Struthio camelus: one gene and its partners. The protein of the gene in region 3 interacts with the protein of the main gene of each other region in a pairwise test. Links are inferred from orthologs where the notes say so. Each region holds a gene or a part of one and is shown on either strand. Other genes may lie near its edges. The genes, in order: PRKAB2, HOXA1, ADAMTSL4 and FLNA.

Evidence for each region.
Region 1: the proteins of ADAMTSL4 (region 3) and PRKAB2 interact in binary tests that used the Homo sapiens proteins (3 or more experiments, as listed by UniProt). The link is inferred for Struthio camelus from reciprocal best matches to the Homo sapiens genes ADAMTSL4 and PRKAB2.
Region 2: the proteins of ADAMTSL4 (region 3) and HOXA1 interact in binary tests that used the Homo sapiens proteins (3 or more experiments, as listed by UniProt). The two-hybrid records come from large-scale screens. The link is inferred for Struthio camelus from reciprocal best matches to the Homo sapiens genes ADAMTSL4 and HOXA1.
Region 4: the proteins of ADAMTSL4 (region 3) and FLNA interact in binary tests that used the Homo sapiens proteins (3 or more experiments, as listed by UniProt). The link is inferred for Struthio camelus from reciprocal best matches to the Homo sapiens genes ADAMTSL4 and FLNA.

Annotation. Positions count from the first base shown.
Region 1 is NC_090949.1:9,238,988-9,246,370, reverse strand, and holds the start of PRKAB2 (5'-AMP-activated protein kinase subunit beta-2), read right to left. Parts: upstream 3,002-7,383; 5' UTR 2,910-3,001; intron 2,693-2,909; exon of another isoform or gene 2,466-2,692; intron 2,430-2,465; exon of another isoform or gene 1,646-2,429; intron 494-1,645; exon of another isoform or gene 343-493; 5' UTR 325-342; coding exon 163-324; intron 1-162. Other genes in the region: flavin-containing monooxygenase 5, read right to left, coding at 3,666-4,023, 4,301-4,373, 4,479-4,831, 4,953-5,152, 5,825-5,967, 6,496-6,658, 6,744-6,932. UniProt on the Homo sapiens protein: Non-catalytic subunit of AMP-activated protein kinase (AMPK), an energy sensor protein kinase that plays a key role in regulating cellular energy metabolism.
Region 2 is NC_090943.1:39,094,302-39,101,368, reverse strand, and holds HOXA1 (homeobox protein Hox-A1), read left to right. Parts: upstream 1-4,066; 5' UTR 4,067-4,341; coding exon 4,342-4,951; intron 4,952-5,413; coding exon 5,414-5,769; 3' UTR 5,770-6,828; downstream 6,829-7,067. UniProt on the Homo sapiens protein: Sequence-specific transcription factor. Regulates multiple developmental processes including brainstem, inner and outer ear, abducens nerve and cardiovascular development and morphogenesis as well as cognition and behavior.
Region 3 is NC_090971.1:2,664,644-2,672,652, forward strand, and holds the start of ADAMTSL4 (ADAMTS-like protein 4), read right to left. Parts: upstream 3,002-8,009; 5' UTR 2,925-3,001; intron 1,182-2,924; 5' UTR 1,103-1,181; intron 308-1,102; 5' UTR 261-307; intron 1-260. Other genes in the region: ECM1 (extracellular matrix protein 1), read right to left, coding at 4,528-4,704, 4,786-4,873, 5,183-5,403, 5,515-5,898, 6,008-6,303, 6,577-6,660, 7,005-7,065. UniProt on the Homo sapiens protein: Positive regulation of apoptosis. May facilitate FBN1 microfibril biogenesis.
Region 4 is NC_090979.1:220,165-227,503, forward strand, and holds the start of FLNA (filamin-A), read left to right. Parts: upstream 1-4,338; 5' UTR 4,339-4,353; coding exon 4,354-4,738; intron 4,739-7,339. UniProt on the Homo sapiens protein: Promotes orthogonal branching of actin filaments and links actin filaments to membrane glycoproteins. Anchors various transmembrane proteins to the actin cytoskeleton and serves as a scaffold for a wide range of cytoplasmic signaling proteins.

The DNA of each region.
Region 1 (7,383 bases), on a different chromosome or scaffold from region 3:
AGCTCTCACGTCAGCTGTTACTACCCCCTCAGACAAAACTGACTCCGCACAAATTGTCTCAGCTCAGCTAGAACCACCCCAGCAGAGCTACCCCAGGGGCGAGCTGAAGCACCAGCCAGGACCTCAAGCGGAAGGACCGGGAAGGCAGCGGCTAGCCCATACCTTGGAGTCATGAGAGCTGAAAACACTGGGGTCGTCGGTGCTGCCCACCATGATCTTGTGTGGATGTTCTTTGCTAGAGTGGGGAGCACCAGAGCCATCCGAGCGGTGGGACTTGGAGCCATGGCGCTCCCCAGACAGTCGCTCGCTGGTGGTGTTTCCCATGGCAGCTCAGCAGCAGCTCTGCGGGAGAGAGAAGATGACGATGTTCCTATGCCCACGGGCTCCTGCAGTGAGGCAGTGAAGGCAGTGTTTCCCAACATCCTTTGCCCGGGGAGACTGACAGCAATCCTAAAAAAGGCTCAAAGTTCATTCCCACTGCCAAGTTTGAGACCTGAAGGGGAATTTAACAAACAAGACAGCTTGAGCTAATTATAGCCATATCCTTATGAGCCGTTGCTCTAGTCAACCCGGTAATTGTTATACTCTAAAACAGACACAAATTGCACTGCATCCTACACAACCCTCACCAGCCAGCATAGCAGAGGGGCTGATGGGAAAAATAAAGCCAACCTTTATTGGCAAATCAATTGCTTGACATAAACAGAGCCTCTTTCATAGTCCCAACAGACTCTGCAGACAAAATCTCTATTTCCAGCAAGAAAACAGCCAAGGAGTGAGAGTAGCAGCTGTTTAACAGCCCTCAGCAACTCTCTAAGGGCTCGCGGGCAGACGAGCAGAGCCTTGTGCCTGGCAAAAGCAACAGGGAGCGTTTAAACAGTCTGAGTGGAATTGCCCAAGCTGGAGCTTGGCCAAGGCATAAGGCTAATGCCCTGGTGTCTGCAGAAAGCTCAGCTCTTGATGGCATTCACTTATCATTCACCAGGCAAGTGGCCACGTCAGCTCCGGCACAGCACAACAAGGGGCGTCTGCTTGCTACAGCCCTCGCCAGCGGCACTACCACGAGCGGTCAGACATCTGGCTGGCCATCCAGAGGCACATCATGAGTGAAAGGTAAGCCTGCTTGCCTCAGCACTGCTCTGCAGGTGGAGATCGGGCATCATCCCCAATTTCATCCAGTTCAGGGAATGCAAAGCAGGAGGAACTTGCCCTATGGCAACAAGCCACTAACAACTACACACCTCTCAGGGCAAACAAAGCCATCACAAGTTACATAGGTCTCTTCAGGCCTGCTCCAGGCCTTACCCAACTTGCAGCAGCGGAGGACTGTGGGCCTTGCCCCTTTCCCAGGTTTATTCTGTAGCTCACATGCTTTCAGTCATACTACGCTGATTGCCAGCTCTGTGGGCAAGGCAATAGGACGGCCAGCCTTACTTCATACACTTAGTTGTGACATTTGAGATTTGTTTAGAAGGTCAGGTTATACGTAGGGTGCCAGGCGAGGCTGCCAGCCAAAGCCAGGCTTCAGAACATTACTTGCAGAGCAATTACTAAAGTATTTCTTAAATCCTTAGGGCTAAAAGATAGCTCGAGAGGACAGCTAGCACATACCACAGCCCCCCCTCTGAGCTAAGATCAAGTGTACCTGAACAGCCCAGGACAGGAGAGGTGCTCCACTTGCTCTGACATCTTCCCCCTTTCGCCTAGAGGAGACTGAACCAGCTCCTCATAGAACCTGCCCCTGCTCAACTATATGTGGTATTATGAAATTTCTTGCCCGCTATCTCGGCCAAGACTCTCTTAACTTCTCATCTACTAGCAGCAAGGTAAGAAGGGCTGAACAAAACAGATCTGAGAGATAACATGCAGACTGTTTCAGATTTGAAAGCTCCCCCTTCTCTTTTCTAGAAGCAATCCAATCCCTCTGAGTCTCCCTCGGTGGCCACATTCTCTATATGTTCCCCAAGATTTCTCCCAGGTGGTTACTCCTTTCCAAAATGTGACATCCAAAGCTCAGTGCAGACAAGAAGCATCTCCTGCCTCCTGCACACAGCCACGCTGCTGCACTGGAACAGCAACATCCTTCTGCAGCAACTCGCTTGCGGCTTGTAAATTCCTGTGGCCAGTCCATTTCAGTGCTCTGCGAGCACAGCCTGCTGTACTTCGCTTTACTGAACTAACTTTTACCAACTGAATCCTCCAAAGCTCAGCCACCCCTTGTAGCACAGCATCCTCTGAGAGTTTGGCACAGGTATCTTCTAACGCATCATGCAAGTCACTAATGACAACACTAGCTTCGTCTGGCCCCTGCTTCCCCCCGCTTCCTCGTGGAAATGACAGGCGAGGTGCACAAAGCCCTCCTATACCCACCACACCTACTGCTTCTCCCTCTTCCTTTGGGCCAGCTACCCTGTCACAAAAAACACGCCCGAGCCATCCGAAGGGATTCGTTCAGCGGAGACCACCTTGCTGTTCGGCGACAGTTGCCCACAGCCTGCTCCGTCGACGCCTCTTGGCACTGAAGTAAGCCAAGAAAGTTTCATTTCACTGGATTCTCCTGCCCCCCCTTCTCTTAGCAAACGCAACAAGAGCTCAGTTGGCCTGATGATGATGATGCTGACAAGCCGGGAAATCAGGGAGAAGAGAGCGTCTCATCGGGGATCCGCGGAGCGCACCCAGCGGGGCCGAGGCCTCGGGCCCGGCCCAGGCGGCGCGGGGCAGAGCAGGGCACCCCGCGGCCCGGCCCGCAGCGGCCCCGCCACCGTCACCCGCGGGCCCCCGCGGCGCGGTAACGCCCGCCCAACCGTCCCCTCGGGGAGGCCCGGCCACCCGCCAGCCAAGCCCGCGCCACGGGCAACCAGCCGCCCCCGGCCCCAGCACGGACAGCGACGGCCTCGCCCCGGCCCCACCTGCCCGCCGCCGCCGCTGCCGCCGCCTCCTCCCCGCTCTCCGCCTCCGTCCAAAATGGCGACACCCCCCTCCCGCTCCCGCCTCCTCTCCCCCCTCCCCCCGCCGGCCGCCACCGCCAGCCTCCGCGAGACGTTCTGGCCCGCCCACGCGCTGCTCTCTATGGCCGCGCCCCGCCCGCCCGCTCTCCGCGCCTGCCCGGGCCCCCAGCGATAAGAGGGCGGCCGCCCCGAGAGCAGGCCCGGCGGCGGGAGTGGCCCAGCGGGGCTGGCAGGAACGGGCTTCCCCAGCCCCGCTTCTTTGCCGCCGGGCAGCCTCCATCTTTTTGGAGGGCGGCCTGGCTTCAAGCAGATGTCGGTGCGGCAGCGGGCGGGCGGCAGCCATTTTTGTTAGGGGCGGCCGGCCTGGTGCGCGGCCATCTTGGCTGAGGGCGAGTGGGCTTCAGCGGCGCTCGGAGCGGCCATGTCGGTTGAGGGCAGGGCCGGCCCGGGTGCGAGGCCCAGGGGTGGCGGGGCCTGCAGGGGACTGGCCCGGGCACGGGGCTGGAGACCGGGCGGGGGCGGCCCAGGAGGTCACACAGTGTGCTCAGCGATGCCCTCGGCCCGCGGGCGAGCTTTATTGCCCTCTTCCCGAGGGGCCACGATGGCGGCGGGAGGCGAGACAGCTTCTCTCTGGGAGGCGATTTCCTCCGTGCCGGCCGAAGCCCGGAGGGAGGGAGGACGAGCGCGGGCAGGACCCCGTCTCCTTGGGTCGGCGGGTCAAGGAGAGAGCGAGACGTAGACGAGCGTGGCCACGATCAGGCCGATGCTGAGGAGGACCTTGAAGGCGTGGGGCACCAAGGTGGTGCGGGGAGGAGCGGTGCCGTCTCGGGCTCGCAGGGCCTTGACGACGCGCTCCCGCTGGGTCAGGATGGCCTGCCGGGCGCCGGCCCACCTCCCCGGCCCCTGCAGGCGGTACTGGTACGGGGTGCAGGGGCCCAGCAGCACCTCCGTCGCCAGCCGGGGGTCGGTGAGGAAGAGGGTGAGCAGGTTGGGCTTGACACCCAGCTGGCAGGCGAGCTCGTCCATGTAGGGGATGTAATCCACCTGGATGGTGTGCCGCTGGCTCCGCACGTACCTGCGGGAGGAGGTGGACGGGCGCTAGGGCTGCAATTTTGGGGGCGTGCCGAGTGGGGAGCTTCAGGGCTGGTGGCAGGGTTGCTGGGGCTGAGGGTGGCGCAAAGTGAGCAGGGATGGAGGAGAAGGGGGACGGGGCAGCACATCCCTCTCAGCGGGTGCGGGAAGGCGGGAGGGACCGCGGGATGCAGGGAGGGCCGGGAGGGGACAGGACCCCGCAGGCTGCCTCACCGCCGGCGGCCGTGCAAGCCTGGCCCCGTTTCCCGGCGGGGTCTTACCGCTTGGCCATCTCTTCTTTCTTGTGGTTGATGTCAGCCTCCATGTCGCACCTCGGAGGCAGTTTGTTCAGCCCTAGAGGGGAAGAGCCCGAGCGGGTTCAGGTTTCAGGCCTGCGGGCCACAGGCTATAGCTGCGCGGGGGGGGGGGGGGGGGGGGGCGCTGTTTTGGCTCGCTTACCCTTGAAGACGCGGGTGGCCCAGCGGCACTGGAGCTCGGAGATGGGCATGATGGCGCCGAGGGGCTGGATGAGGCCGATGAAAGCCAGCGTTGGCTTCTGCAGGTCGATGGGGAACATGAATTTGTACAGGGAGATCTGGTTCTCCACCACCGTCACGCAGTCCTCGAGGAAGGGGAAGGAGAAGCTGTATCCTGTGGCGAAGACCACGGCATCGATGTCGTCTTCCTTGGTGCCGTCCTCGAAGATGGCGGCAGTTGCTGTGAACTCGCGGACGTTTGGCTTGACCTTCACCCTGCCCGAAATGATGCGGTTGGGCAGGTCATCGTTGATGGTCGGGTGCTGGTGGAGGATCCTGGAAGAGCACAGAGAAACCTTGCAAAGGGCATGGGGCAGGCATGCGGCAGCTTCTCTGGGCCATCGGGTGGTGCGTCCCAGTGCCTGGTGCAGGACCCGTGTGTCATCCCTGCGCTTACCGGTGCTGGGGCTGCAGGCCGTAGAGCGCGTGGTCGAACCGGGCATTTATCTTCCTCTCCAGGATGAAGCTCCCAACAGAGAGGGGAACGAGGCTCTGGAGGAGCTGGATGAAGCGGGTGAGGTAGGAGAAGTCGAAGGGGTAGCCGCTTTCGGCGAGGCGGTGCAGCACCCAGGCCCCGCGCCTGGTGCTGAGGAAGACCTGGGAGGGAGGAGAGGGGAGGTGGAGGTGCCAAGTGTGGCATGAGGGACAAGAGCTGTGTCCTGAGAGCCGTTTCCTTTGTGCACCCCCGTGGAGGCATGCGAATCCCCTGCGCAGCACCCGTGCAGCTGGGATCAGCTGGGAGGGGGTCAGGGTGCCGCTATGGTCCCAGTCAATGGGTGGTCCCCTAAATTATGCGCTGGCTCCAGGCTCTGTGCAGCAGCCAGAGGACAGGGCTGTGTTCTTGCTGTGCCCCTTGGACGTTGGGGTTGTTGACACAGCTGCTAGGGTGACAACGACCACCCTCTGCAAAGGGGGTGGGAGATGCTCTCAGAGGGATATGGCACAGCAGGGAGGGGAGCCTGCAGGCGATGGAGGAGGCTTGCCCCAATACCCTTTGGGATTAGGTTGCTCTCTATAAATAAACACAGCAGCGAGGGAGAATAGCCTTTTAAGCTGAAGTGCAGCATTGGCCTGAAATCAGACAGGCCTGCATGGGCCAGGAATAAATATAGTCTGGGAGCGAGATGAGGGAGAAGGAGCGTGCCTGGCCACTGGTCGGCTTTGGCAGCACAGGCACAGGGTGAAAGCCCAGCCTGGTTTTAAATGAGTCTCTCCTAGGAGATGGACAGCATCCCCGTGCGTTTGCAGCCAGCCATGCTGTGGGCACACCTGCTTTGCTGTGTGGCCCAGCTCCACAGCAATGTCGATGCCTGAATTCCCGGTGCCGACCACGATGACGCACTTCTCTGAGAAGGCCTGCGGGGTCTTGTACTCCCGGCTGTGCAGGTACCAGCCCTTGAACTTTTCTAGCCCTGGGAGGGAGAGCAGAGCAGAGCTGTGCCAGGGAGGGACCACGGGGCGAGGGGGTGGCTGTCCTCCGGCTCGGGCTGGTAATGTGTTTTGGGAATGAGCCAAGCCCACTGTGACCAGCAGGAGTGATGCAGCCCTGGGACAGCGCCCAGAGAGCTGGTGGCATCTCCACCCTGGGAGATGGTCAGTGGGACATGGCCCAGTTTGTGGAGCAGGGCTGGGACCGGAGACCCATTCCCTAAATCTTTTCACAATTCAGCAGTATCTGCCTGCAGAGCAGAGCAGTTTGATCAGATGTTGAAGGCACTGTGAGAGCCTCGTGGCAGATAGACCACTGAAATGGGTGGGATTGCAGCTTGTTGCAGTGGGGATTGATGCAGGAACCCACGAGGGGCGTTTTTGGCAGCAAGCACAGTGGGGTCAGGGCTAAGCCTAAAGAGACGAGTGCTTTGAGAGGCCTTGGGAAGCAGGTAAAGGGCCCACGGGGCCGTGAGACCCGCGGTGGGCCCAGGGGAGCCAGCGCAGCGTACCTGGGAAGGTGTGCAGCGGGAGGTGCGCGTTGGTGTGGTGCCCGGTGCACACCAGCACAGCGTCGAAGACGGCCGACTCCTGCTCCCCACCGCTCTCGGTGACCACGTCCCACTGGCCGGTGACGGCAAAGTCGGGGCGCTTTGCCACGCGGCACACGCTGGTCTGGGCGCAGGGGGCAAGGAGCGGGCGTCAGGTTGCGCCCAGCCTGCCCAGGGCACCCTGCACCCCCCGGCCCCGCGGCGCTCACCCTGAAGCGGATGTATCGGAGCAGGTCGAAGTGCTGGGCGTACATGCGGAAGTACTCCATGATCTTGGAGTTGTGCATGTAGTTGGGGAAGTCGTCGGGGATGGGGAAGTCGCTGAAGCACATCATCTCCTTGGAGGTGTTGATGATGACGGACTTGTAGATGCTGGCGCGGCCCTCATCGGGGTGCTCCTGCGGGATGGGTGGGCACGCTCAGCACCTGCTGGGACTCCCAGGGGCAAGGGACGGGGCTGCGGGGTGCTCCCTGCAGGCGCTTATCTGGCTCAGCGTATCTCTGCCTGTACCTCGCCGTGCCTGCGGGGTCTATCAGGCCCTACCTGGGAGCTGGAATAAGCTGCAGCTGTTGGGAGCTGTGACAGCAGTTGAACCAAGACAGCCCAGGAAGAGATGGAGGGGACTGGGACTAGGACAGCCTGGGTCTGGAGTGGGGACTGGAACTGGAACTGGAACAGCCTGGGAAGGGGCGGATGGGAAGGCCGAGCCAGGACAGTGAACGTTGGCCTAAGGGCTGGCCCAAGCAGTGAGTCTGTGAGGAAGGTCCTATCCCGCTGCTGCTGTAAAGGAGACCATTCCCATGTGGTCAGCACATGAGGTTGTACTGAGGGAACATCCTGCTGCCAGA
Region 2 (7,067 bases), on a different chromosome or scaffold from region 3:
TTTCTCTTTTTTCTTTCTCTTTCTCCCTTTCTCTTTCTCTTTCTCTCCTTTCAAGACTGATAACATAACGGATATTTCTCCCCCTGCCTTCTATTATTAATTTACTAATAATGAAAATTCAACATTCTGACTATAATCTCTCCCCTTTTGGAAAGTACATGTTTTAGAGAGGAAAAAACACTGTCAAACTCTTTATTGCAAGGGTTCTCACAAGAAAAAAACACAAACTAAAACAACTTAGATAGAGGCTTCTTCCTTTTAATATATAAACGTAGCATGTTATCTCCGTGCGGATACAAAGCTTGGATATTCTAAACTGTAACAAAAGCATAACGGTGCACTTTTTTTTTTGTTGCAGGCAAAACATAAGCTAGACTTAGTCGGAAAAGTGTTTCCTGCAGAAACTAGCCTGTTACATACACGAAGGGCTCTTTTCGGAAAAAAAATCCTATTTTTCTAGAATACAGTACTTAGCAGCCAGCAAGCTGTTTCAGGAAGCGTATCTTAAAATATAAAACCTCACAGAGAGTGCGTTTGATTCGTGTCCACGTGCTGAGCGGTCCAAGAAAACAGCCCTAAAAAGAGAGGAAAAAAAAAGTTATTGCCTGCAAAATCAAAAAGGTGCCATAAAAGCATTAAAAAAAAGCATTAGGGAGAATACACCCTCCACTTGCTTATTTTGAGGGAAAGTGCGGGGACCCAGCGCAAGGTATTTTCTCTTTAAACCCGATTGCGAGCGGAATGGCTGATAACGAAAAGGGGGAACTCTTACTTTCCGAGTAGAAATTTCCTCAGGGCTCCCCGCTCTCTGCTTGAGGCAGCAAAGATGGGCGTAAAAAACCTCCAGCAAATTGCCTGCGACTCGCTGAGCGGCATTGCCGGAGCCCGGAGCGGGGGGCGAGCCGTGTCCGGCGGGCTGAAGCCGAGCAACAGATGCGAGCCGGCGGCTCCCGGCTCCGGGGGCGAGCAGAGCCCGAGGGATCGTTGGTCCCTGGCTGTGTATGTCTCTGCGTGTGTGAGTGTGAGTGTGGGAGTGTGAGTGTGCGTGTGCACACGAGAACGCAGCCTGAGCGAGGGTTTGGGGAAAGCACTTCGCTGCCCGTCCGTGCGAGGAGTGCTGTCTCCCAGCCCTGCAACACGTTGTGGAGCTGAGCTGCGTGGGTTATAGCTGGAAGGGCTGAACGCAATTCTTCCGAAAGTCATAAATCAAACTCTTTCTATGAATGAGAATGTCATCAAAGAGATCAATTGCAGGAACACATGCACAAATAAAAATCCTCTTACGTATTTGCCGGGGCTGGGGATCCCCGTCTAAAACCATTAAGTGAGAAGGCGTTTAGTCATAATTCATTTTTATTGCTCTTTTAAAACAACAGCTTGGCTGAGCTGCGGACGCGGCAAAACCTCGGCCCTGCTTCTTGTCCTTCTCTCTGCTCCAGCCCCGGCTCTGCGGAAAGCGAGTAGCCTCACCGGTATTTTAACTCCTGTGGCACTGGGTTAAACTGGATTGCAATGTGCGGGTATGGGCTGGGATTTCTTTTGTGCCTAGATATCTGAATACTGCTAACGCTTAAAAAACAAAACAAAACAAAACAAAAGAAACAAAGAAAAATATGCTACCAGATTTAAACTTTTCCCACACTCGGTTTAAACAAATCGGGCGATTCAGCAGACAGGAGCCGCCTAAGTCTCTCTCGATAAGCCCTAGGGCCATAGCGGGGGTACTGGGGGGTGGGAGGGCATGCGAGATCTCCCACGAAAAAGCCTTAAGCACCGGAATTGCCCCCTTCTCTCCCAGCTCTGGGCAGGAAATGGCACTTTCTGCACCCCGGCCCGGAGCGAGCCACAAAGGGGGCTCGGAGGGGAGAGGGGCCCGCCGGGCGCCTCTGGGAGCGGAGAGGGGGCAGCTCCACTCGGCGGGTGGTGGAGGGGCATTTTTCCCTCTGCTCTGGCCCTCCTTATTATGTTGCCCCCATGCACAGTATTGGCAGCAAAAATCCGAGGCACTGTGAGAGAGACAATGTAACAAAAGAGAGGGATCTCTGCTGAACAATGGCACGAATATACGAGAAAACAAACAAACAAACAAAAAAAGATTCCGGGATGCAGGAGGCTGTAAGAGAGGTGTTGTAATTTGGCAGGATTTACGGGTAAACCCGATCTATTTATAGCAAAATATGCCTTTTTCTTGGCCAGCTGTTGTAAAAAAGCCCTGAAAAGACGCCAGCTCTTTTATTAGTAAACAGTCCCAGCGGCCTGCCTTTTCCTTTGCCTTATGCAGTATTTATCACAACTGCTTTACAAGAATGAAATAAATGTGTTTACATCCGTTACCATAGCCAAAAATGGTGCCGTATAATTCCATAAATGCCTCTGGAGTTTTGTTGTTACTCCTCCCCGCCACGTCCCCACCGGAGTTTAAGAAACCGAACCTTTCCAGAGGGCTCTTACTCATTCGTGCCTGCGCAGTAAATGAAAGCAAACAGAAATACTAAGGGCATATGGTTAAGCATGGGCAGTCCCTCAGTTTTTGCTGGCCGCAGAGAGGCCTTGCAGATGGAGTGGGATAAGGGCTGACCTGACAGCAGTAGGAGAGCCTTGCACCCAGGAGAGGATGTTGTAGTTCAGATGGGAGGAGCTTGTGGGTTTGCGTGTGTGTGTGTGTGTGTGTGTCTGTGTGTGTGTGTGTGTGTGTGTGTGTGTGTGTGTGTTAAGTGTTTGTGAGCAGGGAGAGGTGGCAGGGTAGAGAAGCTTTTTGGGCTTCAGAAGAAAACAACAAAGCCTGAGAACCTAGCGATGTACGATCGGGCTGGAAATGCACCTGCAGGAATACAGAAGGCAGCTGCTCACGGAGCTGCTGCTGCTAGTGGGAGTATTAGTTCTTACCCATCTCTCCCCTAGGTTAACCTTTCGCAGGACGCCTCTCTGAAGTGTGCTGAAATCGGTTTGTTGGTGCCGTCCCCTCTCCCTACAGATGGATAGGTGCCCTGGGACGGGTGGATGCCCGATCTATACCTCCCCTTGCCTTTTTTGCATACGCAAAGCGAGTATGAGGTCGCAATTCAAATCCCAGCCGCCATCCCTCCTTTTCTACCCATGGACCCTTTTTGGGGGAGGGGGGGAAGGGGGAGTTGGAGTCGATGCTCAGTGCGGTTCCCAAGGGTCCTGGGGCCACCTCTGCCATTGGCCATCTGCCACCTCCCGCCACTGCCAGCCCGGGTGGCGGAGCCGGGACAAAGGGGACGGGGCGGCGGGCTTTGCATCTCCCCGCCGCTCCGCAGCCCCGGCCCCGGGCTGGCGGGCCGCGACCTGCGCCCCCCGGGCAGCTTTCCGCCCCCGCCCGGGCCTAGGGGAGTGCGGGGCGGCAGCAGTGCTGGCAGACGGGTCCCCGGCCCCGTCACCTTGGCGGGCATCTCCCATCTCCCTGCCACCAGCTCCCCCTCCCCTACCACAGCCCCAGGCTGGCGCGGGCGAGCCCGGCGGAGGTGTGGGGGGAGCGGGGAGCCGGGCCGGGGGGAGGCCGGGGGGCCCGGCCGAGCACAATGGCCGTCAGTCCCAAAAGCGCCTCATTTCCATGCTAATGTCCGCGGCCGCCTGGTGATGCGGCTGGACAAGCCCCTTTAACTCTTGGCGGCGCGTCGCGCTGGGCTCTGCGGCGGGGCAGCAGCAGCAGCGGGAGTGCCCGTCCCCAGCCCCGTGCCCGTGCCCATCCGCGGCCCCGTGCCCGTGCCCGTCCCCAGGCCTGATGCTCTCAGAGCCTGTCCCGGCCTCCCCCCGTGCCGTGGGTCCGGCTGCCGCCCCGCCGCGGCTCATGCCCGGGAGAGAGAGGCGGCGGCGGCGGCGGCGGGGGGAGGAAGTGGGTCGAGGGTGCCGATCGCCAGCCTGACAGCGCCGGCAGCAGGGGAGGCGCTGGGGCAACCCTCGGCGGGGACGCTGCGGCATCACTCACCCTGGAGGGGACGGCCGGTGGGCTCCGGGGCACGGGCGCAGCCGCCAGGCTCTCTGCTGCCTTCCCCTCTCGACGGGCGGGCGGGCGGGCGGGCGGGCGAGCGGGCCCCCCCCCCGGGGCGGCCACCGTGCCCCGCGGCGCCGCGCCGCGCCGTGCCGCGCCGTCGGAGCGCTCGGCGTTTAAATGCCCCCGACGCGGCGATCTATCAGCGGCAGGAGCCGGGAAAGTCCCGCAGGCGCCGCAGCCATTGGCTGCCGCCCCCCACGTGCCTCCCCGCTCGCTGTACCTTCGTGTCATTTTCCTCCCGGCCCCATGGAGGAAGTGGGAAAGTTGGCGCGGCCCCGCCGGACGCTGAAGACCCGGTGGCGGCGTGACAGAGGGACACGGCGAGGATGAGCTCCTTCCTCGAGTACCCCGTCCTCGGCGGCGAGGCCGGGGGCTGCGCCGCCCGCGCCTACCACCCCGACCACGGGATTACAACTTTCCAGCCCTGCGCCGTCAGCGCCGGCAGCTGCAGCGGGGAGGACCGCTTCCTCGTGGGCCGCGGGGTGCAGATCAGCCCCCACCGCCACCACCACCCCCCGGCCCAGCCCGCCGCCTACCAGCCCCACGGCGGCCTGGGGGTCTCCTACTCGCACGCCGGCTGCGGCCCGACGTACGGCGCGCAGGGCTTCGGCGCGGCGTACAGCCCCTACCCCCTCGGGCAAGACGCGGAGCTCGGCGCCGGCTTCCCCCCCTGCGCGCCCGCGGTGTACTCGGGCAGCCTCTCCTCCGCCGCCGCCGCGCAGCACCCGCACCAGGGCTACGCGGGGGGCCCCGCTCAGTACGTGCACCCCCCCTACGGACAGGAGCAGCAGAGCCTGCCGCTGGGCACCTATAACCATGCCCTGTCTCCTCTCCACGCCAGCCACCAGGAAAACGCCCGCTCCCCGTCCGCGGAGACCTCGCCGCCCGCGCAGACCTTTGACTGGATGAAAGTCAAGAGAAACCCACCCAAAACAGGTTAGTCCCCGGCTGCAGGACGGGAGGGCCTGAGGAGGGGGGGGGGGGCGAGCTCCTTTCTCTCTCTTCCGTCGGTAAAGCCAAGGCGAGGCAAAGCACAGCCCCCGCGGCCGGCGGCGCACAGGTGTCCCGTCCGTTTGCTTTGCAGGTAAAGCGCCCGAGACCCCCGAGAGCAGCCGCCGCCGTCTGCCCGCTACGCTCAAAGTCAGCGCTGCCTGTGCCTACCCCCCCCCCCCCCCCCGCGGTCATATTTCTTGTAATTCATAAACCACTTATCAAGTTTCCTCTGACACTAGAGGCTGAGTCCAGTTTAGCACCTCGCACTCCATCACTCACCCTGCCGGGGCTTCCCTCTTATCCTAAGAAGTTCTTGCTCCCTATCGCTTAGCCGGTGTGGACACATTGATTACGTCGCCTATAAATCACTTGCGCTTACTTAATGCTGGATGTCCCCTTTTGCAGGAAAGGCTGGCGAGTACGGCTTCGTGGGGCAGCCCAACACGGTCAGAACTAATTTCACCACCAAGCAGCTCACAGAACTGGAGAAAGAGTTTCATTTCAACAAGTACCTGACCAGGGCCAGGAGGGTGGAGATTGCAGCCTCCCTGCAACTCAACGAGACGCAGGTCAAGATCTGGTTCCAGAACCGCAGGATGAAGCAGAAGAAAAGAGAGAAAGAGGGGCTGCTACCCATCTCTCCCGCCACCCCCACGGGCTGTGAGGAGAAAGCGGAGGAGTTATCAGAGAAGTCCTGCTCGTCGCCCTGCACTGCCTCGCCATCCTCCTCTACCTCAGACACTCTTGCTACCTCAAACTGAGACGCACCTGGGTGCTCCCTGGCTTGGACTCGCGACTCCCAAGCCGCCTCCCTACCGTAGCTCGAACCGATTTAACGCTGTTGTGTGTGTGTGTTGGCTGGTTGGTCTCCTTCAGAGCCCCGGTGCCCCAAACGCCCGCCCCGTCGCGGGCAGCCGCCCGCTCCGCGCCCCCCCGGCCCCCGGGCCTCGGGGCCAAGAGGACATTTTCTCTCTGTTCCCCTTTGGCTGGAGGAGATGTGTTGGCACATGTGTAAGGGTCTCTCTCCTCCGTTGCAAAGACCTTTCTTCAAGTTCCCCCTGAGTGAAAGACAGGCTATCTAGGGTACATAACCTCACGAAGAGATGCACTATTGGAAGTGTTTACACGACTTACAGGACTTTCATCCTTTAATTTAATGTATTCTTTGTTCGCGTCTATGAGTTTGTTGCTTGTAAATACTTTGTCCGAGAGATTTATCTTTTTACAGATTTTTCTAGAAATGACGTTTAGATTATCAGGTTAAGCAGGGTGGGTGCATTCGCAAAACTGGATCCAATTTTATATTGTTAAAGCAGACGACCGTATCAAGTTAAACGTGTTAAGCTCAAGCAGATACCTCAAAGAGTAGCGCTATTTGTTTAAGTGTGACAAACAAGGCTTCAATTGCACTAGGTTTTGAAAACCTTACCCGGTGTGCTTTCCCTCCCCCCTCCCCCGACAGAAGTCTGTGCTGGATTATATTGAACCGAAGGGTATAACTGTCCAAAAGACCTCACCTCTTCCTGTTTTCATATTAACCCTCCTTTAGACTCGACGTCTTTTCAATCTAATCGTAAATGTGACGACTGGCCAAATGAATGTATATTTTATGTGATTCGTGTCTGGAAGTTTGCATGATGCACAGTGCTTTGCTGTACTCCGGGTACACTGAGTTCTATCAGTTGTCGTGTGTGAGCGAACTATCTTCCTCGTCTCCTGTACAATCATCAAAGGCTCTGCGATTCTGGGACTGAGGGAATCCAGGGCACAATCTACGGGTCCTTATAATGTCTGTAATAAATATATTCAACTTTCAGGTATCCCTTGTGTGCGTACCTCTGCGTGACGTCACTGATGAGTCACCGGCTCAGCTCAGCAGTTTACTCTCCATTATTTTCTTCTGATGGGGCCTTTCTCAGGGAGAAAGGGAGAAAGAACATCCCAACATTACTCCTGACGTGTTTTTTTTTTTTTTTTTTTTTTTTTTGGCCGGGGTCAGAGCTCGGGCTGTCCAGTCTGATTCATAACACAAACTTTCTTCCTTTTCTACACTCGAATA
Region 3 (8,009 bases):
CTGCAAGCATCAGCTCCCGGAGTCAAGCGAAGCCTCCAGCCGCTGTTTCCTCCCGGACCACCCGGGCAGGCAGCGAGGTCGCTGTTGCAGCAGTTTTACCTCCCCGGTCCGGGATGGAGCAGCAGTGGCAGCCAAAAGCCTTGGCTCTGGCCCCAAACGGTGCCCGGGGGCTGGCAAACCGCCTCCTTCCCTGTGCCGGCAGGAGCCTGCTCAGCTTTTCCCCTTTCCCTGTTTGATCCTCTCCCTGCACAAAGACGCACCTTTGGGCTGCCGGAGAAAAGAAACAGCCAGGTCTCCAAAAACAGCACTGGAAAAGGAGGGGAAAGAGTTGGGGGGGGGGGAGGAAGGCAGCCCGGAGGCAAAGCAGAGATCTGGGCTGCTGCTGGGATCCTTCGGCTCCGGCCGGCTCCTGCTAGCGACCGGGTCACCTTGTCCTGCCCTGCGTCTGTCCGTCCGCCTCCCCCCCCCCCCCCGCCCCAAGCCCTTTGAAATGAAGGAATTTGAAGTATTTTTGGATGCCACGGCGGAAGAGGAGAAGGGATCCGTTTGCTGTTTCCACCGGCACAAAGCAGAGCCGGAGGGGAAGCCGTCCGGAGCGACCTGCGGGCCAGGGCACGGAGAGGTCGGGATCAGGCCCGGCAGCCGCAGGAGCACGAAAGCAGCTTGCGTTAAGACGGCTGAGAAACCACTTGTTGCCTGGGCTATCTATATTTGAAAATGTGAGCAGACTGGCTGGAATATCTCCCACCCTGGTGGAGGAGGGAAAATAAAAAAAAAAAAAAAACAGGTATAAAAATACCCGGGGACTTTTCCGTGCCTCCGATGGCATGTGGAGGGCACTGCCCGACGCGCAGCCTGCCCTCCACGCCTGGGCCGTCCGGCCCACCCCCGAAAAAAGCCCTAACTGTTATATCTGTATAAATAAAGATATAAAAATAGAGCACATGGTGGCCGGTGTATCAGCAGCCGCCCAGCACATTGTTTCCGCAGCTCTGCCCTGCCCGGCAGGGATGGCTCCGGGGGGGGGAATGCAATCACAGGCAGGAGAGATGCCCTTCCCAGGGCATTTCAGCAGCCCGGAGGCCCCCCGGCCCCCCCTTACCTGCTCGCTGAACGGTCACAGCCTGAGGGGACAGGGGTGGCCGCGGGCTGGGGTCCTCCAAGCCTGGGGGCTCCCGGGGCTGCCATGAAGGAAAGGGGGGAAAAGCTGGTCCCAGGGTGGCAAAGCACGGGGGGGGGGCAGGGGGAGCCGAAGAGAGGGAGCATCCAGGCACAGAAGGATGGGGAACGGGGCAGCAAAGGGATGGAGTAGCCAGGGAAGGATGCGGACAGAGTCCTGGTGGCCAGAAACGTGGGCACCCAGCAGCCCCCCCTGGATGCCAGTTGTCCCCCCATCCAGGGATGCTGCACATGGAGCTGATGAGGGGCTGGGCTGGGGAGGGGGATGGCAGGATGAGGAAGGGGCTGCGGGCTGGGCAAGGGAACGGGGAAGGGGGCTGCAAGCAGGGGAAGGAGCTTGTGAGCTGGGGAAGGGGGTGGGGAAGGGGCTGAAGGCAGGGGAAAGGGTTTGTGACCTGGGGAAGGGGGCTGCAGGCTGGGGAAGGGGCTGCGGGATGGGGAAGGGGTTTGAGGGCTCAGAAAGGGGGTTGTGAGCTGGGAAAGAGAGTTGGGGAAGGGGCTACAGGATGGGGAAAGGGCTGAAGGCGGGGAAGAGGTTTGAGGGCTGGGAAAAGGGGCTGGGGGCTGCAGAAGGGCATAGGGAAGGGGGCTGCGGGGTGGGGAAGGGGGTTGCGGTCCAGGACCCCTGCCCACACCGCTCTCACCGTCCCGGTGCTCCAGCCCCCCCTCGGCGAGGCCGCCGCTGCGGCTGCCCCGGCCCGGTCCCCCCCGGCAGCCCGGGTGCAGGCAGCGGGGGCTGGTCAGTTTCATCCCGAACAGGGTCAATTTCAGCTCGAAATGGTCAATTTCACCCTCCCCCCCTCCCCCCCCCCCCCCGCCACTCCGAACCGGGTCAGTCCCAACCCGAAAAAGGCGAGTTTCAGCCCGAATCGAGTCGCTCCCGGCCCCGGGACCGGGTGGCCCCGGCCCGACCCCCGCCGCCAACCGCTTCGCCCCCTCCCCGGTCCCCGGTCCCCCATCCCCGGCCCGGTCCCCCTCCCCGCTCGCGGTTACCGGCCCGGCCGCCGACCCGCTCCTTCTCCGCCGCGTCGCCGATCCCGGTGCTCTTCCCCCGGTCCCGGTTCCCCGCCCCTGACCCAGCCCCGCTCCCCCCTTCCCCGGCCCGCCCCGGTCCCCGGTCCCGGTCCCCGGCTCCGCGCACCTCGCGGCCGCCCCATGGACGCCCCAGGCTCGGCACCGCTCGGCGCGGAGCGGGGGCGGCGCAGCCCCGGCCCGGCCCCCGCCCGGCCCCGGCCCCGCTGCGCTGCGCTGCGCCCGGGGGGACCGGCCGGGGGGGGGGGAGCGCTGCTGCCCCACGGCCCCGGGGGGTGCCCCCGACCCCCGCTCTGCCCCGCACCTCCGGCCCCCCCCAGCCCGATCCCTGCACCCCTGCGCCGTCCCCGAGCCTCGTGCGGGGCTCCCGGCCCGTGCCTTGTCGCCAGGCCGTCGGGGACATCCGCAGCCCCCCACCCCATAGCCACCCGCCGTCCGGCCCCGGCCCACGGTCCCGGCCGTCCCCGAGCTGTGCGCCGTCCCCAGCCCGTGCCACGTCCCCAGCCCACGGCCGTCACTGACCCAGCGGGCACCGGCCGGGCTCTCTGGTGAGGGACGAGGCTGGTGACCTCGCTGTGTCAGCGGCCCGGTGGCCAGCGGGAGGACCGGGGCGGCCACCCCTGTCCCCACCAACGCCAGCCGCGGGGCCCGGTGACAGGCCGTGGTGGCGCGCAGGCAGGGGGGCTCATCCCGGCGTCGCGTCCCCCCATTACCTCTGATCGATCCCGTCCGCAGCGGCAAGGAGCCCTGATGCATGGCGAGGGGAAACTGAGGCAAGCAGCCACAAAGGGACGCGACTTTTACCCCTCCACACCCCGCTGCGGCCCTGGGGCAAGGTGAGAGCCGGGTCTGCCCCGGTCAGGCTGCTGGAGCCCCATCCCAGGCGGAGGCAAAAAGAGGGTTGCAAAAAGGCAGGGGGGGTTCCAAAAATGATGCAAAAAGGTGCAAAAAAAGGTGGATGCCGGGGGGGGGGTGGCCCAGGGGCGCCGGATGCAGACGAGCAAACTTCAGCTGGGACCAGGGCACTGGCGCCAGCCTCGGTGGCAGCGCGATGGCAATGTCTCCCGTGCAAAACTGCGTGCCTCAGTTTCCCCCAGGGAGCAATCCCCTCTGCGGGGCTTCGCCAGGGCCCCGGCCTCGCACCGTGAAGTGCTTTTAATTGCGCCGAGCTGCTCTTGGCAGCGGCTCCAGCTGAGCAATTAGTGACTGGGACTCGACGAGGCCTCGCATGGCGGCAGCCAGGAGGTCCGCGGCAGCCGTGGGATCCCTGGGGTTACTGGGAGGCTGGGAGGGACTGGGAGGGGGGACGCGGCCGCGGCGGCTCCCGCTGTGTTGACACAAGTCCCGTCCCGTCCCACCCCCCGCTCGCTGGCTGGGGCGACGGCGCGTCTGGGACCCGGCGCCACCGCCGGCCGGGGAGGCATCGCCCTTGGAGCTGAGACCGTGCAAACTCGCTGCCACGGGAAGGGCTGGCAGCGGTCGAGGTCAGGCCGGGAACCCCGGTGTGACCTGCTCTCTTCCCGGGCGGCTCCCGTAAACACGGCCCCGGATCCGGCCACCGCCCCGGCACGCTCCCGAATTAGCACCAGGGCCCAAAAATAGCCTCCGGCCCCGCTGGGACCCCGCCAGGCACCAGGGACCCGGGGACATGGGGGGTACGGGGACGTGGGGGACACCATGGGGGACATGGGGGCATAACAGGGGCCACGGAGTCATCAGCGGGGCCATGGAGATGTGGGGGGCACGGGGACACCGCAGGGGACACTGGGACGTGGGGGGGCATAGGAAGGGGGAGACGCAGGCAGACCAGGGTGGGGGGGGACGGGGCAGCTCCACGTGCGCCCGGACCCACGGCCAGACCCGCAGCCGGACCCGCCACCCTGCGGGACTCCCACCTCCGCGGACCCCGCCCGCCTGGGTCCCTGCGGTGCCGCTGGCGCACCCCGACACGCAAACAGGCCCCGGCGCGCGGCGCACGCCTGCACGCGGCCGCACAGACGCGCACCCTGCGCGGACACACCTGCACCGCGGCCCCGGCATGCCGGGGGGGCCGAGGCACCGGGGCGGGGTGGGGGGGAACCGACGCACCTTGGGGAAACCGAGGCAGGGCTGCGGCGCGAGGGTGCAGGCGGAGCCGGGCTGTCGGGGAAAGGCTTTATTGAGCCCCAGGAGCCCGTGGCCGTCGCGGGGCAGGAGAGGGGCCGCGGTGCAGCCCCAGCCCCCCCCCCCCGGTCCCGTCATGCCCCCGGCGAGCTCGGGACGGGGTCCGCAGCCCTGCCGGGGCTCAGCATGGCCAAGGGGGGGGGGGCGGACGGTCTAATCCTGCTCCGCGGCCAGCAGCTCGGGCTCCGTCGAGGCCAGCAAGACGCTGGCCAGGTAGCTGGCGTCGAAGCACCGGCGCTGCTCCTCTGCGGTGCCGTGCGCGCAGCATCGCTTGGGGTCCTTCCACGAGTCCCGCTGCGAGGAGCAGAGGGCGGCGATGGTGCGGGATTTCTGCGGAGGAGACGGGAGGTCACGAAGGGCCCGGACGCCTGGGTCCCCCGCGTGGAGGCGGGGCGGGGGCCCTGCGCTCACCTGGTCCTCGGCGCAGGCGACGCGCTCGGCCCCGCCGCGCGGGCAGCACGCCTCCGTGATGCTCTGCACCAGGGCCGGGACCGGCTTCCTGCGGCGCCGGAGAGAACCGCCGTGAGCGGGGTAAACCCAAGGGCTGGATCCTCCCGGCGGGGGCCAGGACGCCTGGGCCCCCCGCTGCCACCCCCTAACCCCCCCCCCGGCCTGCAGTACCGCCCAGCGCCGCCGGGGGGCGGCCCAGCCCCGTATATCCCGCCCCGTCGGGGGAGCCCGGTTTGGGGGGGGGGGGGGCCGGACGCCTGGGTCCCTCTGAGCACTGCCAGCGTGGGGGATCTGGAGGAACATCCCGGAGGGGAGGAGTGGAAACGGGGCCCGGACGCCTGGGCCCGCCGGCACTCACTGCTTGGCCAGGAGGCGCGCGGGGCCGCAGAGGGCGTCGAGCAGCGCGGGGCCGAGGCGGGCCAGGCTGGCGTTGCGCAGCTCGCGGTCGTAGGCGGGATGCGGGGCCTCGCCGGCGAAGCAGCCCCAGCGGGCCGGGCCCCGGCCCCGCTTGCAGCAGCGGTGCTGCTTCGTCTTCACGCCGCTCTCCTCCTCGCAGAAACGCCCCAGCGTCTTCTGCCACTGCAAGGGGGGGGGGGGGAGAGCTGAGCATCGGCCCGGCCGCCGGCCAGGTGGGGAGGGGAGGGGAGGGGGGGGGACCCCCACCCCGGGGCGCCCTCGGCCCGGACTCACGGCGGCGCGGGCGCACTCGACGCTCTCGGCGCGGCAGCACGTCTTGTAGTCGCGCTCCAGGCGGGCCAGGGCGCGCGCTCGGCTCTTGGCGGCGCCGAAGCCGGACGGGGGGAAAGCGCCGGGGCCGTAGACGGGCCGGAATTTGCGCAGCCGGCAGATGTTACCGATGTTGGCGGCGGTGGGCTCGCCGGGGGGGAAAACGGGCTGGGGTAGGGGCGGCACGGCGGCGGCGGTGGCCGGCGGCGGCTGCAGCTCGAGCGGGGCGGGCGAAGCGGCGGCGGCGAAGCAGCGCTCGCGCTCGGCCCCTCTCCTCTTGCAGCAGTAGTAGTGCCTGGTCTTCACCCTGAACTCGTCGGCGCAGAAGTCCTCCAGCACCTCCGCCCACTGCGCAACAAAAATAATGAAAATAATGAAAAAAAGATAATATTGCAGCAAAAATGCAATAAACATAAAAATTAGCAAAAAGCCCCCCCCCCCCCCGTAGGGGACTCACCGCCTGCTGGGCGCAGGGCAGGGGCTGGGGCCGGCGGCAGCAGGCGTCGAGGCGGCCGTCGAGGCGCTGCAGCGCGTCCGCCTGGCGCCGCAGGTGGGAGAAGCCGGTGCGGGGCAGGTCGCCCAAGGCGTCCCGGGGCCGGGGCCGGCGGCACAGGTCGGCGATGGTGGCGGCCGCGGGGCGCCCGGGGGGGAAGTCCTCCAGGTCGCTGCCCCAGCGCTCCGGGGACGATGCCGACGGCGCCGGGGAGCGCAGCACGGGCAGCACCAGCTCCCGCTCCTGCTGCAGCACCGGGGCTGCGGGACGAGCAGGGTCACGGCGGGGCGCCCGCGGTCCCGTCCCGGGGCTGGGGGCGGGGGGGGATTTCCCTGCCTCCCACCCGGGACACACGTCCTTGCAGCCCTGCTGGATGCGTCCCCCTCGCCCCGTCCCTCCGCCCCCATCCCTGGGGCACGCGTCCGGGGAGGGGGGGGGGTCACATCCCCCGGGGGGGGGGACAGGACGCGTCGCCCACCCTTTCCCAGGGGTCACATCCCCGCGTCCCCCCACCCACCACCCCCGGGGCTCACCTTGCTCCAGGTCCTCGAGCCGCAGCAGCAGCCCCACCTGGGCCGGGGGCTCGCGGGGCCCCGCGGCCGCCTCGGCGCCGGCACCTGGGCGCGGGGACGGCGCAGGGTGAGCGGACCCGGGCGGGGGGGAACCGTGCCCCCCCCACCACCACCGCATGCACCCGGACCCGCCGGGAGGAAGAGGAGGAAGGAAGGGGCGCGAGGCCGAGGGTCGGTCGCCCCGCGGGGCCATGCCCCGCGGCCCTGAGTCACTTCCCAGGGCCGGGCCTCAGTTTCCCCCGCCTGAGACCTGGCCAACTCGTTCCACCCGTCCCAGCTCGTTTCAGCCGCCGGCAGCGCTACCCCTGACCCGGTGCCTCCCTCAGAGCCCCCCCCCCCCTTAGGGACCCAGGCATCCGGGGCGCAGGAGCCGGGGGGGGGGGGCTCACCGGCGGCCAGGCAGAGCGGCGGCGCGACGAGGAAGAGGAGCAGGAGGAGGAAGGCGGCCATGGCGTCGCTCCCGGGTCGGCCGCCGGCCTCGCCGCCTTATGAAGGGCCGGGGCCGGGCGCGGGGGCCCATCCTGCCGGGGGCTGAGTCACGGCTGACGTCGCTGGGCCCTCCCCGCCGCCGGCCCTGCCTCAGTTTCCCCACGCGCGGGGGGTCCCCCGGAGGAGGAGGAAGGAGGGGGGGGCCGGGACCCCCCCCCCCCACTCCTGACTCACCCCTCAGCGGTGCAGGAGAAAGCCGGTTTTTCCCCTTTTTTTTTTGTTGTTTTAACTTTCCCCTTTCCCGGTTTACCCGCCCCGCGGCTCCACCCCGGAGCCTGGCCGGGTCCCCGCGCGGGGCTGATTCACCCCCCCGTCCCCCCCCCCCGGTGCATCACGTCCCCCCTTCCCGGCACGGGCAGCCGGGCTGGCCCCTGCGGTGGTCCCGGCCCCGGGGACGGCCCAGACAAGCGTGGAGGGTCCCCAGGCCACCGGGTGGCACGAGGTCGGTGGCCTCGGGCACGTCCCTTAGCCCCCCGGCGCAGGGGGGGGGACGCAGCCCCGCGGCCCCGACCGCAGCGGGGGGGAGGGCTGAGTCCTGGCTGCAGCTCGGTGCACCGGCCGCCCACGGAAAACGGCGTTATTTTCTAGCTGTGAAGCCAAATATTTGGGCCGAACGACAAGTGCCCAAAGTGGTGGCGGCTGGCACAGGGCGAACACGGGCGATTGCCCAACGGCGGCCGGGGGGGGGGGGGGGGGGACAGCGGGGCCCGGCCTGACGCGGGGTTTCACAATCCCTCCCGAAACCACCGCGCGGCCCGAGAGGCGGCGAGCCCGCCACGGAGGGCGAGCGAGGGAGAAGGGGGAAACCGAGGCACGGGGAAAGGGGGCCCGGCCCCGGCCCCCCGGCCACCGACCCAAGGGGAGGATTTGGCAGGGCTGGTGCCAGCCGGTGCATGCACCGAGCT
Region 4 (7,339 bases), on a different chromosome or scaffold from region 3:
TGCTACACGCGTGTGTGCGTGAAGAACAAGCAGGTGCAGCCTTGAGCACGCGTGTTCACATGTGTTGGTTGCACAGGGCCTGATGCAGGCAGGTAACAGGTTTGGGTTTGCACGCCCGGGAGTGACACGGATCCCGGGGTGGGGGTGTAACATGCGTGTTTGCACACCCGGGAGCGACACGGATCCCGGGGCCGGGGTGTAGCGTGTGCATGGCCACGCGTGTGAGCGGCCCGTGGCCATGGCGGGGGCAGCCGCGTGGTGCCGTGTGCGTGAGGAGCACACGCGTGTGCGAGGGCGCTGGAGTGAGCACGCACACGCGTGCATGTTGACACCGGTGCAAGGATGCACACGCGCGTGCGAGGGCTCGCGGCGCCGCAAACGAACCGCCACGGAGACCTGGTAACGAGCCCCCCCGCTAACGAGCCCCCGGCGCTATCGGGGCCCTCGGCCGGAGGAGCCGTTTCCGCCGCTGCCTCGTTTCCTGAGGGCCGGGGGGGCCCTGCCCCACAGCGCCCCATAGCCGCCTGCCTGCCCTCTGGCCGCCCTGCTGCCCCACAGCGCCTCGCGGGGCCTGTTCTGCCCCTTAGGTTGCTCCCCTGCCCCATAGCCCCCCTCCCACTCCATAGCTGTTCCCCTGGGGTCCCCCCATGCCCCATAGCACCCCACAGGCCTTCAGCTGCCCCATAGGGCCCGCTCAGCCCCCCTCCTGCCCCATAGCATCCCCCGTCACCCTCTCCTGCCCCATAGCCCCCTGTGGGATCCCCTCCTGCCCTGTCCTGCCCCAGGGGAGCCCTGCTGCCCTATAGAGCCCCATAGCATCGCCCCCATCACGCTGCAGCCCCCCTAGCCCCCTTCTGCCCCATAGTGCCCCATAGCCCTCTTCCGCTCCATATCACCCCATAGCTGTGTCCTGCCCCACAGCCCTGCCATATACCCTACCTGCCCCATAGCATCCCCCATGGCCCCTTGCTGCCCTACAGCCCCTCCATAACCCCCACCTGCCCCACAGCTCTTCTCTTGCCCCATAGCAGCCCCATAGCCCCCTCCTGCCCCATATAATCCCCATAGTGCCTTCCTGCCCCATAGCATCCCCCATAGCTGCCCTTCTGCCCCAAAGCTGCCCCATAGCCCCCTTCTGTCCTGCATCCCCCCCAGCAACCTCCAGCCCCATAGCAGCCCCATAGCCCTCTCTTGCCCCATAGTACCCCCATAGTGCCCTGCTGCCCCATAGCATCCCCATAGCCCCCTACCTGCCCGATAGTAACCCCAAATCCCCTTCCTGCCCCATATAATCCCCTATAGGCCCCTCCTGCCCCATAGCCTCCCCACTGTCCCCCTCCTGCCCCACCGCCCCTCCTGCCCCACAGCATCCTCACAGTCCCTCTTGCCCCCCCCCCCCGCTGTCCCCACGGCCCCTCCTGCCCCACGGCCCTCCCGCCCCACAGCCCCCCCCCCGCCGCCCCCGGCCCCTCTCCCCCCGCCGCCCCCCCGCGGCCGGGGCGGGGCTCCGCGCGCCCGTTACCAATTAAGGCGCCGCGCGCGCCGCGCGCCCCCCCGGCAACCGCCACCCGCGCGCGGCGGCCGCGCTCCGCCACAGCCGCCGCCGCCGCTCCCCCGGCTCCGGCTCCCCCCGCCCTCCCGCTCCGGCTCCGGCACCGGCTCCGGCTCCGGCTCCGGCTCCGGCGGCTTCACCTCCGCGGGCGGCAGCGGCGCCCGGTCCGGTGAGCGCGGGGCTGCGGGCTGGGGGGGCTGCGGCGGCGCTGGGGACCCCCGTCTTTGGGGTGCCCGGGGGGGGGACCCCGTTGGGGGGGTGTCGTGAGGGGATCTTCCCCGGGGGGGGTCTGGGGACCCCTTTTGGGGAGGGTGTCATTGGGGGGGACCCTTATTGGGGGGTGTTGTGAGGAGATTTTCTCCTCGGGGGGGTCTGGGGACCCCTTTTGGGGGGGTGTCATTGGGGGGGACCCATTTCGGGGGGTGTTGTGAGGGGATTTTCTCCTCGGGAGGGTCTGGGGACCCCCTTTGTGGGGGTGTCATTGGGGGGGACCCTTATTGGGGGTGTCCTGAGGGGATTTTCTCCTCGGGGGGGGTCTGGGGACCCTCCTGGGGGGGTGCTGTGAGGGGATTTTCCCCGGGGGGGGTCTGGGGACCCTCCTGGGGCCCCCGTCTTTGGGGGTGCAGTGGGGAGGACCCACACTTGAGGGGCTGGGGACCCCCCCGGGGGTCTGGGACCCCCCAGGAGCGCTCGTTTTGGGGGTGCCGTGGGGGGGGGGGATACCCTGGTCTGGGCAGCGGCTGCGTCTAGAGCCCTGCTGGGGCGTGAGGGGGCACGATGGGGTGCGGCGAGGGGGCTGCGGGGCAGTTTGGGGAGCCCCCCGCCGCAGGGGTGACGGGGCCGAGGGGGACGGTTTTCAGTGTGACGGAGCAGTTAGGGTGTGACGGGGGATGGCTGTCAGCGTGCTGGGGGTGTGACAGGGGTGGCTCCTGGTGTGATGGAGCGTGTTAGGGTGTGACGGGGAGGACTGTCAGTGTGGTGGGGGTGTGACGGGGTGGCTCCTGGTGTGATGGAGCGTGTTAGAGTGTGACGGGATGGCTGTCAGTGTGGTGGGGGTGTGACAGGGGTGGCTCCTGGTGTGATGGAGCGTGTTAGGGTGTGACGGGGAGGACTGTCAGTGTGGTGGGGGTGTGACAGGGGTGGCACCTGGTGTGATGGAGCATGTTAGGGTGTGACGGGGAGGACTGTCAGTGTGGTGGGGGTGTGACAGGGGTGGCTCCTGGTGTGATGGAGCGTGTTAGGGTGTGACGGGGATGGCTGTCAGTGTGGTGGGGGTGTGACAGGGGTGGCTCCTGGTGTGATGGAGCGTGTTAGGGTGTGACGGGGGATGGCTGTCAGTGTGGTGGGGGTGTGACAGGGGTGGCTCCTGGTGTGATGGAGCGTGTTAGGGTGTGACGGGGGATGGCTGTCAGCGTGGTGGGGGTGTGACAGGGGTGGCTCCTGGTGTGATGGAGCATGTTAGAGTGTGACGGGGATGGCTGTCAGTGTGGTGGGGGTGTGACAGGGGTGGCTCCTGGTGTGATGGAGCGTGTTAGGGTGTGACGGGGGATGGCTGTCAGTGTGGTGGGGGTGTGACAGGGGTGGCTCCTGGTGTGATGGAGCGTGTTAGGGTGTGACGGGATGGCTGTCAGTGTGGTGGGGGTGTGACAGGGGCGGCTCCCGGTGTGAAGGAGCGTGTTAGGGTGTGAGGAGGAAGGTTGTCAGTGTGGTGGGGGTGTGACAGGGGTGGCTCCTGGTGTGACGGAGCGTGTTAGGGTGTGACGGGATGGCTGTCAGTGTGGTGGGGGTGTGACAGGGGTGGCTCCTGGTGTGATGGAGTGTGTTAGGGTGTGACGGGATGGCTGTCAGTGTGGTGGGGGTGTGACAGGGGTGGCTCCTGGTGTGATGGAGCGTGTTAGGGTGTGACGGGGGATGGCTGTCAGTGTGGTGGGGGTGTGACAGGGACGGCTCCTGGTGTGACGGAGCGTGTTAGGGTGTGACGGGGATGGCTGTCAGTGTGGTGGGGGTGTGACAGGGACGGCTCCTGGTGTGACGCAGCATGTTAGGGTGTGATGATGCAGTTTTTGGCTTGACGGGGTGTGACGGGGGCGGCTCCCGGTGTGACAGGGCAATTCCTGGCATGACGGGGTGTGACGGGGATAGCTCCTGGTGTGATGCAGCATGTGAGGGTGTGATGGGGGCGGTTCCTGGTGTGACGGGGTGTGATGGGGCGGTTCCTGGCTTGATGGGGTGTGACGGGACAGCTCCTGGTGTGACGGGGCGTGTTAGGGTGTGACGGGGCAGCGTCAAGGTGTGACGGAGGAGCGCTAAGGAGGCTCTGAGGACGCGTGTGGGGCTGGGAGGGTCCGAGGCGTTCGGGGCGCCCCCATGCCGGGGGGCGTGACCCCCCACCCCCCACGGGGCACCGTCCCGCCGGGGTGACTCAGCGCGAGGACCCAGGCGTCCGGGCTGTGGGGGAAGGGATCCCACCCCCCCTCGCGGTTTTGGGCCTGACTCAGCATCCGTCTGGCGCTTCCCCGGACACCCGAGGCCTCGGCACCGCCGGGGCTGGGGGGTGTGCAGGGGGGTCCCCAAATGGGGGGGCATCGGGGAGGGTCCCAACCGGGGAGCGCGGGGGGGCCCAGACTGGGGGGGGGGCGTCGAGGCGGGTGGGGGCTGGCGGGGTGCCCCCGGGGCCCCTCGCTCACTCCCTCCCCGTTCCCCCCAGGTCGGCGGCCCCTTTAAGCCGCCGCCCCCCCCTCGGCGCGCAGGCGCGGCAGCCGCGGGGGGCGTCGCCCCCCCGCCCCCGCCCCCTTAAAGCCATGAGCGCGGCGGGGCGCGCGCGCGCGGAGGAGGCGGTGTCACGCGCGGACGGGTCGCGCGCGGAGCCAAACCGCGCGGCGGCGGACGGCGAGATGCCGGCCACCGAGAAGGACCTGGCGGAGGACGCGCCCTGGAAGCGGATCCAGCAGAACACCTTCACCCGCTGGTGCAACGAGCACCTCAAGTGCGTGCACAAGCGCGTGGGCAACCTGCAGACCGACCTGGGCGACGGGCTGCGCCTCATCGCCCTGCTGGAGGTGCTCAGCCAGAAGAAGATGGGCCGCAAGTACAACGCGCGGCCCACCTTCCGCCAGATGCAGCTGGAGAACGTCTCCGTGGCCCTCGAGTTCCTCGAGCGGGAGAACATCAAGCTGGTCTCCATCGGTGAGGCCGCGGGGGACCCCCGGGACCCCCCAGCGGGACGCGGTTGGGACCGGTGCACCCCAATGCCTGCACTGATAAGGGGGGGCCCATAAGACCTGCCCCAGTGAGATCTCCTTTCGGGAGAACCCCCCAGTGGGGGCCTATGTGAGACCCCCCTTCCCCTTTCGGGAGCCGCCCCCCTGTGGCAGCCCCCTTCCCCTCATGCCCCCCCTTTTGGGAGCGTTTCTCCCTTCTCTGGGAGCCCCCACTTGAGATCCCCCCCGATAGGGCCCCGTGCGAGACCTGCCTCCTGAGTCCCCCCTCTTGAGGCCCCCTTTAGGATCCCGCCTTTGGCACCCCCCCCTTTGGGAGCCCCCTCCACGGGCCCCCTCTGGGCCCATCCCTGCCCCTGTTTGGGTGCCCCCTGAATGGGCCTCGCTTTGGGCTCCCCCCTTAGAGACCCCCAGGACCCTCTGTTTGACCTCCCCAGTAGCCCCCCTTCTGGCTCCCCCCTTAACAGGGACCCCCGCCCGCCCCCCTCCCCCGCACCGGGCCCTCTCCCCGGCCCCCCTCGGCCCCATAACAAAGGCGGGGAGGGGGGGCTGGGCCCGCTCCCATCCCAGGAATGTGGGGGGGGGGGTGCCGCTCGGACGCCTGGGTCCCTCAGTCCTGCTGGGGGGGGTGGGGCCCTGGCAGAGGGGTTCCCGGACGCCTCGGTCCTTCGGCCCTTTTCGCGGGGCCGAGGGAGATGTGGGGCTCGGGTGGGGGGTCGGGGGTCCCCGGACGCCTGGGTCCCTCGGCCCTGCGGTTCCCCACATCCTGCGCCCAGAGGAAGGCTGAGATTTGTGGGCGGCTCCGGGGCCCCACCCTGCCCGGGGGGGCAGCGGGGCCCTAGACACCCCCCCGGGGCCCAAACATCCCCCCGGGGCCCACATTCCTCTGGGTGGGGCTGGGGGTTACTCACCCCCCGTGACTCATCCCGGCCTCGATGCCAGGAAACGGCGGGGGGGGGAACTGTCGGGCCCTATGGGTGCGGGGGGGGGGGCGGGCTGTGGGGCTGCAAGGCTGCTTGTGGACTCTAGGGGAGCCCTATAGGGCTGCGGGGGACCTTGTGGGCTGCAGGGGGGCCCTATGGCTGCAGGGGGGCCCTGGAGGGCTGCAGGGGAGCCCTATGGGGCTGCAGGGCTCCCTTATAGGTGCAGGGGGGCCCTGTGGGGTGCAGGGGGCCTTGTCAGGCTGCAGGGTGCAGAGAAGTCGCTATAGGGCTGTGGGGGGGCCTATAGGATGCAGGGGCATCTCTGCAGGGCTGTGGGGGCTGCTCTGCAGGCTCCATAAGGCCATGGGGGTCCCTATAGAGCCATAGGGTGCAGGGGGAAGAGGGGGCCTCTGCAGGACCCTATGGGGTGCAGGAGAGCCCTATAGGGTGCAGGGGGCCCTATAGGAGGGTGCAGGAGAATGTGTATAGGACTGTATGAGGGCTGTGGGATGCCGAGTGTCCCGGGGGGTCTCTATAGGGCCATGGGGTGCAGAGGGGTCTCTGTAGGGCTGTGAGGTGCCCCTATAGGGCCATGGGGTGCAGAGGGGTCCCTATAAGGCTATAAGATGCAGAGAGATCCCTATAGGGCTGTGGGGGGGGGTCTCTATAGGGCTGTGGGGTGCAGAGAGGTCCCTATGGGGCTATGGGATGCAGAGAAGTCTCTATAGGGCTGTGAGGTGCAGAGGGGTCCCTATAGGGCTGTGGGGGGTCTCTATAGGGCTGTGAGATGCAGAGAGGTCCCTATAGGGCTGGGGGGGGGGGTCTCTATAGGGCTGCGAGATGCAGAGAGGTCCCTATAGGGCTGTGGGGGATCTCTATAGGGCTGTGGGATGCAGAGAGGTCCCTATAGGGCTGTGGGGGGTCTCTATAGGGCTGAGATGCAGAGAGGTCCCTATAGGGCTATAAGATGCAGATAGGTCCCTACAGGGCTGCAGGGGGTCCCTATAGGGCCGTGGGGCGCTGGGGTGTCTGTAGGGCTGGGGGGGCGGGGGGTCCCCGGGGGTCCCGAGTGGGGCGGGGGGCGGGGGCGGGGCCGCCGGGCGGGGGCGGGGCCGTGGGGCGGGGGCGGGGCCTCGCTGGCGCCCGAGCCCATATAAGGCCAAAAAATGCTGGAGCGTCGGGCGGGGCCGGGGGGCGGGGCTGGGGCCACCGTGGGGAGGGGCGGCCCGGGGCTGCCTGCTCGACCCCGCCCCCTCCCCGCCCCCCGCCGCTTTTGGAGGGGGGCGGCGGTGTCCACTCCCCCTCCCCCTGCCCAGCACCTCCCACCCCCCCTCCCACGGGGGAGGGGACCCAGGCGTCCGGGCTGCCTCCCCCCAACCCCCTGCCGGGGCCCCAGGCGTTCCCCCCCCCACACACACACACTCCCCGTCCTGTCCCCCTCCCTGCTGCCCTGTGTGTCCCCGTCCCCCTCTGCCGCTGCGCTGTGTCCCCAAGCCCGCCTGGCTGAGGCCACTGTGTGTCTGTGTCCCTGCACCCGTGGTGGTGCCACCGTGTCCCCAGCAATGCCGTGTCCCTGTTCTGCGTCCCCACACCCTGTGCCCGTGGTGGCACCGTGTCCCCAGCGATGCCGTGTCCCTGGTTTGCGT